Linked DNA regions of Struthio camelus. The protein of the gene in region 1 interacts with the protein of each later gene in a pairwise test. Links are inferred from orthologs where the notes say so. Each region holds a gene or a part of one and is shown in the gene's direction. Other genes may lie near its edges. The genes, in order: TPP2, PPP1R16A and POLB.

Region 1 (3,744 bases):
AGAAACTTGCCTGAGGAAAGCGCATTGATACTGAAATAACAAGAATGGATGGCACCTTTACTGCCAATTTATATGGCTAAAGCCGGGAGTCAGGCCCTATGAACAAGATTGCTTTTTTTAAGTGCTGTATTTGGTTTCTGAGATTCTACAGTTCATTCAGTTTTTGCTGGCAAGCTTTTCTGCAATCAGGAAAGCGGGACACCGACTTTAAAACCTCTCCTAAAGCTAAGATTTATGACTTATCTCGCCAAACATTTCATTTGGAGCTGTCAATAGCCTGCAGCTAGTCTTGTTTCCCTTAGAACTAAGTAGTTGCACAGGCATTAAATCGCAGCACGCTGTAAATACCGTTTATCCCTCCCACAGTAACGGAGGTAACAGTGCCCCGGGGGGGGGCAGCTCAACCGCATAACGTGTTTTTCGCGTACAAATCAATCAGCAGAAGAGGCAACGTTTGAATATTTATAAGTTTTCATGTTGTTTTTGTTCAGCGGGTGACGGGTACCCTTCGTGCGCCACTACTGGAGTTTCCTCTCAGCGCTGCCTGAGGGATTCCCCCCACGCCGCCCGCCCGCCGCCGCCGGCCCGAGGCTGGGACGGAAAACGGCGCCCGCCCGCGGCGGAGCCGTTTTCCCTGCTTAGGCGAGGCCCGCCCGCTTCGGGAGCAGGGGATTGAGGGCGGCCCAATCAGAGCTGGAGCCCGGCCTGCTCACACGGGAAGATGGCCGTAACCCCCCACCCCGGCCACGGCCGGTGTCCCCGCAGCTCTGCCAGCCATCCGCCACCCGCCTTTGCGCTCCGCTCCGCTCCGCTCCGCTCCCCTCCCCTCCCCACCCCACCCCCGCGTCTCAGGAAGGCAGGGAGGGCGCTGGTCACTTTAAGGGCGCGGCCCCCCCGTTCCTCTCCCGCCTCCCCCGCTCTTCTCCCCCCCTCCCCAGAAGTTCCAGCGCGTGGAGAATTTCCCTTTTCTGATTGGCTGCAGCGCCGCGGGCGGGCGCCAGGACGTTGCGTGGCCTTATTGGCTGGTTTAGGCCCGGTGCGCTCGCGTTCCGGGTCGCGCCAGGGTGCGCCCCTGGGGAGGGGGCGCGCGCATGCGCCCTGGCCTCCCCGCGCCCACTGCCCCCGCCCGCCGGCTGCGCTGTGCTCTCGCGCTGCCTGGCGGCGCGCGGCCCCCGTTTCCCTTTCCCATCATGGCGGCCGCCGTGGAGGAGCCGTTCCCTTTCCACGGCCTCCTGCCCAAGAAGGAGACCGGCGCCGCCGCTTTCCTCGCCCGCTACCCCGACTTCGACGGGCGGGGGGTGCTGTTGGCGGTGCTGGACACCGGCGTGGACCCCGGCGCCCCGGGCATGCAGGTAACGGGCGGTCGCGTGCGGCGGGAGGAGCCGCTTCAGGGCGGCGGCCCTGAGTCACCGCCGACAGGCAGCGGCGGCGCCGCGCCGGGACAGGGTGGCGGGCGGCCGTTGGCTGCGAGCGGGGAGCACGGAGCGGCCGGCCCGGCGGCTGCCGGAGCCCTGGAAGCCGCCGGGGGAGGGGGGGCGGGAGGAAGGAGGTCCCCGCGGAGGGGTCGTGCCGGGACGAGGCGTCTGGCGCCCCCACGGCGGCCGTGAGAGGCTTGCGGTTGTTGTTGTTGTTGTTTTCCTTAGGATTCCCGCTAAGCATTCATGCCCGTGCTGCATTAGTGTGAGCTCCGCGGAGGTCGGCTGTGGGAGAGCGGAGAAAATCCTGTAGATCTGTGTGTTTCCCTTCGGTTATTTGTAGGAGGTTTCTTCTTTTGAGCCTTCCACAGATGCCTTAGGGCACTTAATCCCTTTGGCTGTCTCCTTTTTCGCAGAACCTACTCGAAAAGAGTGCTTCGTATTTTTCTTAAACGTTAGCGTTATTTCAGTAGTAGCAAGGGAGTTCAAACAGCCACTTAAATGTTTTGTATGAAAAATGTGTTTTAGCAAATTTTGCATACCTTTGTTGTCAATGTATTTTTCTTGTATTGCAATCAAATTTTTTATCAGATTTGTATATGCTGACCTTTTTTTACATCTGCTAGCTTTGTCTATAGCTCAGAGTACACCCCATTTGTCATTACAATCTTGATCTCAGGTTTTGTAAAATTCTGTGTAGGTGATTTTTAATTTGGACGTTTCACAGTTTTTCCTTGATTCTTTCAGTATTTGCTTTTTAACATCTTCTTAATTATGCAGTGTATATATGGCCTTTTTTGTTGCTCCTACTTCCAACTTCTCTTCAGCATGTTTTCTGTCAGGATTCGGAGAGGGTTGTATGCAGCTCCCATGGGAACTGCATCCTTTATATAAGCAGGGATTGTGGTGGTTTCTGCTCTTTATTTGGCACTGGTGCAGATTTTACTCTTCAGTGACCTAGCTCAGAGGCCTAACTTTGATCTTTAAGTTCAGCTTTCTGAACTGACTCCTTGTGGGGTTCAGGTAAGTGTTTCACATGTGAAAGCAAAAAATCTGAATCTCTAGGGGTTGCGTATGTGAGGAACAAAGAAAGCATGAGTTTGCACGGTTGAGACTAAGACATGCTATAAAATATTTTAATTATATAGTAATTTCTTTTTTTAAAATTTTGGGGTGAAAACATTCTTTACATCTATAATAAATTCATTACTTAGAAAAAAATCAAATCATACAAAGAAAATTAATATCACTTAATTCTGCCCTCCCTTCCCCCCCGCCCCCAAGATAAAGGACTTCAAGGGAGAGGGGAAGACAAAAAAACAGTTGAACCGTAAGTTTCATTGTACCATTACTACTGGTGGGCAGTGTGCCAAACAATTCATGTCAGCACTGAAAGCTCTATCAGTTACTTTACGCTAAATGACTGTGAATCGGACTGGATCGCTGCCATTAGGAATTGAACCTTAGACCTTTGCACTTGAAACTCAAGTTTCTTGTGTCTGACCTGAAAGACTGATTTGTTGATTCTGATTGCACAGACATGTACGCATGTGGACCTGCTATTCATATAGAGGGTGACGATCTGTACGGTGTAGGAGTTTCACATAAAATTTCTGGCTAGGAAGGAACTTTTAAAGCTACTGAAATTCACTACAGCATAAATCTATGTTCTGGCCACCTGTTGCAGTATGACTCACCAGTGTCAAAGAGGTTGCCTTGGGTTGCAATTCCATTTTTATTTTCTTGCACTTTGATCGCTGAGCAATTTATTACTTTTTTTTTTTAGAGGTATATTGAAAAATGCCCAATTCTGATAATCTCAGGTTTAGCATGCATATAATTTATTATTGGTGGAATCCTCTTTTTGGCGTAACTTCTGTTCAAGGTTACCTGTTAACTTCTCTGTGAGTGAAGACTGGCATCTGAAGGGATTAATTACAGATGATAGAAAATTCTATGGTATAAATGCCTGTGCATGGAGTTTCCCAAGTAAATTTTCACTACTACATAGCTGCTGTTCTTCTAAATGAACGTGAATTTCTGTGAGCAGAGTTAACCGTGTTGATTTCTGCAGTGAAAACTGTTCCATAGCAGGTTTCCTCAAAGCAGTATTTGTTACCTTCTGGAAAACAGAAATTTGTCTCCTGTTTATACTTGTTGCAGTATCTTTTCTTACAGCTATTTAAATTTGGATTTTTCTAAACAATGAAAATTCAAAACCTTGGAGGTATTTGTCTGTATTTGTTGAACTCCAATGTAGGCTTGACCATTGTCTTGTCTTTTTTGGCAGCAACAGAGTGACTTTTATGAAATAACTTAATTATTATCA
Region 2 (3,744 bases), on another chromosome or scaffold:
GGAGCTGGACGGGGCGGCCCGGCTGTGGCAGGGTGGGATCGAGCCCTGCACGGGGGGCCCTCACCGGCATGCTGTGCGGGGGCTGCACCCACAGGCACCCAGTGGGACCCATGGCAGGGACTGGGAGCCACTGGGAGCACTGGGACCCACGGCCATGACTGGGACCCACTGGGAGCCACTGGGACCCGCAGCCAAGGCTGGGACTCACTGGGAGCACTGGGACCCACGCTGGGGGCTGGGACCCACTGGGAGCACCCGCTGTGACCCCCTGGGTCCCCCCGGGACCCCAGAGCTCTGCAAGGGGTGCCGACCTCCACCGACCCCAGAGCGAAGGGGACTGTGACCCCTGACCCCAGGGTGGGGGGTCGTGACCTCCTGGGACCTCATGACCCCAGGGTGGGGCAGTGACCCCACATGACCCTGTGACCCCAGGGCCAGAGGCTGTGATCCCCCCATGACCCCAGGGCAGGGGCCCCCATGACCCTGGGACCCTTTGACCCCAGGGTGGGGCCATGATCCCTGGGCCCCCATGAGCCCTGGTGACCCCAGGGCAGGGGGCCGTGACCCCATGACCCCAGGGTGGGGCCATGACCCCTGTGACCCCAGGACAGTGGGCAGTGACCTCATGACCTCAAGGTGGGGATGTGACCCCAGGGCAGGGGGCCGTGACCCCATGACCCCAGGGGGGCTATGACCCCCATGACCTGAGGGCAGTGGGCAGTGACCCCATGACCCCGGGGGGGCCATGACCCCTGTGACCCCATGGCAGGGGGCCGTGACCCCATGACCCCAGGGCAGTGGGTCATGACACCCATGACCCCAGGGCAGGGGGCTGTGACCCCATGACCCCTAGTTTGGGCTGTGACCCCAGGGCAGGCGGCGGTGACCCCGTGACCCCAGGGCAGAGGGTCGTGCCCCCCCCCGCCGGCCAGCAGGGGGCGCTCGCTCCGCGGCGGCCTCTCCCTCGCTCGCTCCCAGCATGCCCCGGGCTCCCCTCTCGTTCCCTTCCCGTCGCCATGTTGAGTGTGGCAGCTCGCTCCGCCTGGCGGGGTGGCGCCCAGCCACGCTCCGCATGGCGGCTCAGCGGGGGGGGGGGGGCGCCCCCTCCCTTCCCGCCGGAGCCCCGCCCCTTCCGGCCTGGACCGGAAGTGTGGCCGGTTGCCATGGCGAGCGGCGGCGGCGCGCGCGGGCCCCGCCCCGAGCAGGGAACGACACCGGGCAGGGCGGCGGCGGCGGCGGCGGCGGCAGGTAGGGCCGCGGCGGGGGGGGGGGCAGCCCCCGGGCTGGGCCAGGGACGGGGAGGGGGGACCGGGGCCGCCTCCGTGGGGCGTCTAGGGGCGGCCCTGGGCTTGGGGGGGGGCTCCCTTCCCCCCCCCATCCGTGGGGCGTTTGGGCCCTCACAGGGTGTGGGGGTCCCCCCCTCCCCCGGCTGTGGGATGCTCCCTCCCCAGGGGGTGTGGGGGGGGCTTTCCCCCGGGTAGTGGGGGGGATCCCCTCATCTGTGGGGCGTTTGGGCCCTCACAGGGTGTGGGGGTCTCCCCCCTCCCCCGGCTGTGGGGGACATTCCCTGCCCCCTGTGCTGCATTTGGGGACAAGGGATGTGGGGGGAGGGTGCTGAGGTGTTTGGGGGGGCCTTTCTGCTGGGCTCTGGGGGGGGATCCCCCCCCAGGGGGCATTTGGTGCCCCCCCCCCGGCATATGGGGCTTGGCTCCTGCGGGATATGGGGCGGATATGGGCGGGATCTCCCCATGGGGCATTTGGTGGCCCCCCTGGGATGTCGGGGTTGACCCCCCCAGGATGCAGGGGGATTCCCCTCATAGGGCCTTCGGTGGTCCCCCCCCCCCGGGATGTGGGGATCCTCCTCCTCGGGATGTGGGGGGTCCCCCCCCATGGGGCAGCCCACATGAGCTGTGGAGGGCCCCCCTCCCTCCCTCGGGGTGTATTTTGGGACATCCCTGGTGCGATGGCCTGGGGGCTCCCAGGGAGGGCTGAATCCCCCATGGGGGTGCGTGGCGAGTGGGGCAGGATCACCGGGAGGGTGATGTGGATGAGCCCCCAAGCCCGTGGCGGGGGGCTGAGTCCCTCCGTGGGGCAGGGGGAAGCCTTCGGGGCCGGGCGGGCTGTGCTGTGTGCCGGGGGAGCCTGGGGGCTCTCCTGGCCGCTGGCTGTGGGGCGGCCAGTGGTTCCTTAGGGGGCCTTTGGGGGTGTCAGAGCAGTTGGGGGCTGCCTAAATCTCCGTGGAGCCGCTCGGAGCACTCGTGGGTTGGGTATTCCTCCGGGAGAGGAGCTCGGAGGGACTTGAGCTGGGCGAGAAAACACTTGGAAACAGCGGGGAAGGTGGTCTTCCCCGACCCGCCTCCTGGAGCCGGGCGTTAGGTGCCGCTTCGGGCTGGTGTCCGGGTGGGACGGAGAGCCGCTGCGTGAAGCCACTGGCCGGCGCGGCCTTGCCCCCGCCAGCCGGCCGCGCAGGAGGCGCGCGGGCGGGCTGGATGCCTCGGCAGGTATTTAAAAAACCTGTAAGAACCTGTTTTCCTAGAGCCTCCCTGGGCGTGAGCTGCCAGCGCAGGGGCCTCGCCTGCCCTAGGTGAGGACGAGGACGCCTGAGACCGGCTTCCCCTGCCCATCCCACGCCACCCGCCTTTCCCCGCCGAGCCTCGCTTTTAAGGTAGTTGCCTTAGGTCGCTTGAGCCCTGGCTGGCCTCGGCTGGGGGCCCTCCGTCCTCGCGCGGGCAGCGCTGCTCCCGCGGGACGCTCGGGGCGGCCGCTGCGGCGAAACACCGAGCTCATCGGTCCGGGTCAGCGCGTTGCTCCGTTTCTACCCCTGGGGAATCGATGCTGGTTATGTGAAGAGCAATAAATAAAAGATGAGCGCTTTTTTTCTTAAAAGCGTACACGGTCGGAAAGAAATTTGAAAGTGTAATGTCCGGCGTTACCGCCTGCGTTTGCTGGTGTCCATTAACGCCGTTTAGCGAGGAAGCTGCTCTGTGCATGTGAGCCATCCACCCATTTTAATGAGCGTGAGGATGCTGCTCCTTCGGTTGTCTCCAGAATAGGAAATGGCGGGGAATCTTTAACTTCTTCAGGCCTGTCCCTTTGTGCTTCGGCTAGTTTCAAATGTCAAACTCTTTGTGCTTTAGCTAGTTTCAAATGTCAAATTTTTTGATGATTTACTTTTCTTGTATGCCTAGTTCGTTTTGGCAGTTCTGTTTTGCATAATTCATTCTCTTGGGTTCTTTTTGTGCGTTTTAACTTCCAGCTAAACGTAGCTTGATGTGAATAAAAAATATCATTCCCTGTTTAAACGATTAAAAATCAGAAGCGTCTGAAAAGAGCGTATGTTAAGCCCTGTGATACGACATAGGTAATGGGCAGCACTGATACGAACCAGCGCTGAAAGGGCCGTGTTAAAACTTGGTGGTTAACCCATAGTAGTACCGTAGATTTAACTCGGATTTCGGCTGGGGCTCCCCGTAGCCGGTATCGTGGAGCTGCTGCGGCTGCCTCCCAGGAAGCGTCCGAAAAGCTCTAAGTAAGCAAATGTGGGATAATCTGCACCCTTTGAAGGTCTCGTCCTAATCTCTGCAGCCAGAGATTAGTTTGAACCTTGAAGCTGGCGGTTTCGTGTCCTGCCGTTAACTGCTGCCGCGCTGGACGCCGGCGGGAGCGAAGGCTGCCCAGCTCCTGGCGTCCCGCTGGCTGCGGGGCCCCTCCTCGGGGAGGGCGCGCCGCGGCCGGCCGCGGAGC
Region 3 (3,744 bases), on another chromosome or scaffold:
CCCCCACCCTTTCCTCCCCTCCACCCATGCCTTCAGGTGGGCAGGAGAAATCCCGGCACTCGTAGCCACTCCAGGGACGCCCCCACCTCTCTGCCACGTTCCCGCACCGGGCTCTGCCAGCCTCCCCGCACCCCCAGGCTGTATCCGCGGGGGCGAGCGCACGCCTCGGCCCGCGCTGGGGAGGAACCGGGGCCCGAAAGGCGAGGCACGGGAAAAAGAAAGTCAAACCCGCGCTCCTGCTGTGGAGCCCCTCTGCTCTCCGCCTCCACGCAGCGACGGTCCTGGCGGGCAGGAAACATCCCAGGGCCCGCGGCCACCCGAAGGGACGCGCTCGCTTCACCGGGACCGGCGGCCCGCCCCCGCCGCTTCCGAGGGTAAGCGCGGCTCTGCTCGCCGCCATGCTGCTCCTGGGCACCGCGCATGCGCCGCCTCAGAGCGCGCCAGCGGCGGGGTGAGCGGCAGCGGGGCCGCTACCTCGAAGAGCGCCCTCCAGCGAGCCGGCTGGCTGCAGCCCGGCGCACTGCGCCCGATTGCGCATGCGCGGTATTGATAGCGGCTTTAACCGGTTGCTAGGAGAGCGGCACCGACCACGGCGAGAGCTCACTGCGCATGCGTACGCCGCCTGGCTACAGCCCCGCGTTGTGACGAAGCGCAGGTAGCAGGGACAGCGGTGCTGCAGTGCGCATGCGTGAGCCGCTCACCCAGTTTTTCCCCCTTGTAATCAAGAGAGGCGAGCAGCGGATTTCCCCGCACGAGTAGTTGCCGTGACCGTGTTGCTGCTTCCCGGTACTCACACATAGTCCCGAACGCACGGAGGCTGCACAGACCGCTGTCGAGACACGAGGCGGCACCAACGGGCAGAAACCCGCTGTGCCGTCGGCCGGGGAGCACCGAGAAGGGGCGGGAGCGCGGCCGGTTGCCGCAGCAGTACGAGCAACCGTGGAGCTCGGGCGGTCACGGCGGGCTGCAGTGCGCACGCGTCTCTGGCTGGTGCCGCGCCGAGGCGGGCGGCGAGCAGCAGGGGCCACGGTTTCTGACGTCACTGGCGACGCTCCGCCCTGGGGCAGGAGTACGCATGCGCATTGAAGGCGGCCGTGCTTTGCTGAGGTCACTGCCGGAAGCGCCGCGTTGCGGTATCCGGTTCTCCCCCCGCCGGCCGCTCTGGTCTCCCGCGGCCGGGTCCGCGAGCGTCCGGGATGAGCAAGCGGAAGGCCCCGCAGGAGAGCCCCAACGAGGGCATCACGGACTTTCTCACCGGTGGGTGATGACCGGGGCGTACGGGACTACGGCGGGGTTGGCTTGCTCTAACGGTGTCTTCCCCTGTAGAGCTGGCGAACTACGAGCGGAACGTGAACCGTGCTATTCACAAGTACAACGCATACAGGTATCGCGGCCCGCCCCCGCGCCGGGGCCTTCCCCGCGCCGGGGCCCGCTCCCCCCCCCCCCACCTCACTGCCTGTTCCCGGGATCCGGCCCACTCACCTGCGCCCCCCTGTCGCGTCGGAGGGGGGCACTGCTCCCCCCGACGGAGGTGGCAGTGCTGCTGCCTGGTTCAGTCGCTGACTGGTGCTGTTTTGCAGAAAAGCAGCCTCTGTGATTTCCCGGTATCCCAGCAAGATCCAGAGTGGGGCTGAGGCCAAGAAGCTGGTAGGTGCCTGTACCATGGTGGTAGGGCCTCAGGTTGGCAGGGGCTATGATGCCAGGGGCTCCTGGAAGGGGCAGGAGCAGCACGGGATCAACCCTGCCTGTGACAGCTCTGCTGCCCTTCCCCTTTCCAGTGATGTCTGGGTCAGGGCTCAGAGGTGGGCGTGGGGTTGGCTGCAGTGGGGAGTGCTGTAGAGGTTTCATGGCCGGAACTGCAGGCACCCGGTCCATCTGGCTGCAGCCCTACTTGTAAAAGGCTGCCGTTGGGGAAAAATTCCCCTTTATTCTGTTACTGCCCTGCTAACCTTTGGGCCTTTAGTTGTAAGAGTCAAAGCCTGGTTTCAAACAATTGCTTTCAGGAGACTTTTAATACAGCCCTTCATTTATGATGGTTGATGCAGCTTGCGTTTTACCATGGAGTACTGCACTACTTCATGATCTCAATGACCTCCTAATTCTTACTGGACTCTAAATTCTGTGTTGTAACTTCTATTGTTGGGTGTTTTTTTTTTTCTTAGCTATAGTGGCTATAAATGATTTGGAAGTTAACTTCTTGTTCTCCCCACCCCTTCTTCTTCCAATATTTAGGATGGAGTAGGTGCTAAAATAGCTGAGAAGATAGATGAGTTTTTATCCACTGGAAAACTACGCAAATTGGAAAAGGTGGGCTTCTTTCCTGTGCACTATACTTCACAATAGTTGCTTTTCTTTGCACTTTGCAAAGTAGCCTATTTACTTTGTGAAACTTTGGGGATTATCTTTGGCGAAACTGATGTCAAACCTGAGAATGGTGGATAGGGAATTTATGGGGAGTAGAAATTGGGGAACAAGAAGCTCAGCTGAAGCCTCAAAACTACCTGTTCCTGAAAAAATTTTGGATAATATCATCAGCATATGAACGTCTTCACAGTCTTCCGGATCCAGACTTCCATTTCTCAGAGGAGTTTTGAGTTTTAAATGTGCTGTTTACCTTAGCATAGGTAGTTAGGGCAGAGGGTTTTCAGGCTTGGTATCTATGGCGTTGCCATGGTGCACAATATTACTCTTCGTTCTGCTTTGCTTTGATTTATAGTAAGCCTCCAAAACAGAATCTGAATGGGCAGTATTATCTTCTCAAGTTTTTTGTCTTTATTGCAAGTGGAGTGCAGAAGGGTTTGGTCTGTGTTCTTTCATTTTTCCAGATTCGTCAAGATGATACAAGTGCATCTATCAACTTTCTGACCCGAGTTACTGGCATCGGGTAAAGCTTTCTCTTTGCCCCCCTTTCTCCCGCTTGCTCGCTCTTTGCACCTGCTTTTGGGGAAGAAAGGGCAACCGTTCACTTAAGTATGGTGCTAATGACAAACTCTCCAGCCAAACTGGAGTTTGGACTGCTTTGCTGTACTGTAGGCTGCAGGCCGGAGCCTCATTTCTTAAGTGCTGGTTCAAATACAATCCTGTTGCTGTGGCTACAATTTGGCTCAAAGACTGATTATGTTTAAAGTAGTCCTTATCATGCATGCGATTAGATCCCAGTGTTGTTGGCTAAAGCAATATTCCTTATTTGGTGAGGGTGTTTTTTTCTTTCTTTTTTCTTTAAACAATTGTATAGCACTATATAGTTGTATCAATACTAAAAATGTGCAGCCCAAGCCTTGGATACCCATCTCTGCTAACTGAAAGTACAGACTACAGATATGTGTGCCAAGTGTACGGCAAGCATCAGAAGTGACTTTCGTCTTGGTCTTGAAGAAGCTAGAGGATTATAATGAATTCTAATGTTCTATTCAGTGTTACGAGATTCTTACTGTTTCTGATTGCAAATTGGTCTCTTTGCAGTCCTGCTGCTGCTAGGAAGTTTGTAGAGGAAGGAATTAAGACTTTAGAGGGTGAGTGTATGTCATATGCTGTCTTTGGGTCCTCAGTTCACACTGCAGTATCACTTCTTCTGTCCAGCTGCCTGTCTCAGAGTGGTACTGTGATAGCAATTACATCTAGTTTTTGATGAAAGCGCTTTAAAAAAATAAAGTTATTGCACAGAGTGAACGCATTATACCTTCCAGAGTAAGATGCTTACAGACTTCACAGAAAACAACATGGATTTTGTCACACAGACGAATG

What was found.
Region 2: the proteins of TPP2 (region 1) and PPP1R16A interact in binary tests that used the Homo sapiens proteins (3 or more experiments, as listed by UniProt). The two-hybrid records come from large-scale screens. The link is inferred for Struthio camelus from reciprocal best matches to the Homo sapiens genes TPP2 and PPP1R16A.
Region 3: the proteins of TPP2 (region 1) and POLB interact in binary tests that used the Homo sapiens proteins (3 or more experiments, as listed by UniProt). The two-hybrid records come from large-scale screens. The link is inferred for Struthio camelus from reciprocal best matches to the Homo sapiens genes TPP2 and POLB.

What each region holds. Positions count from the first base shown.
Region 1 is NC_090942.1:162,708,140-162,711,883, reverse strand, and holds the start of TPP2 (tripeptidyl-peptidase 2), read left to right. Parts: upstream 1-1,097; 5' UTR 1,098-1,190; coding exon 1,191-1,352; intron 1,353-3,744. UniProt on the Homo sapiens protein: Cytosolic tripeptidyl-peptidase that releases N-terminal tripeptides from polypeptides and is a component of the proteolytic cascade acting downstream of the 26S proteasome in the ubiquitin-proteasome pathway.
Region 2 is NC_090943.1:172,444,033-172,447,776, reverse strand, and holds the start of PPP1R16A (protein phosphatase 1 regulatory subunit 16A), read left to right. Parts: upstream 1-1,224; 5' UTR 1,225-1,248; intron 1,249-3,744. UniProt on the Homo sapiens protein: Inhibits protein phosphatase 1 activity toward phosphorylase, myosin light chain and myosin substrates.
Region 3 is NC_090968.1:7,954,705-7,958,448, reverse strand, and holds the start of POLB (DNA polymerase beta), read left to right. Parts: upstream 1-1,067; 5' UTR 1,068-1,196; coding exon 1,197-1,257; intron 1,258-1,326; coding exon 1,327-1,384; intron 1,385-1,580; coding exon 1,581-1,647; intron 1,648-2,232; coding exon 2,233-2,307; intron 2,308-2,825; coding exon 2,826-2,884; intron 2,885-3,462; coding exon 3,463-3,512; intron 3,513-3,744.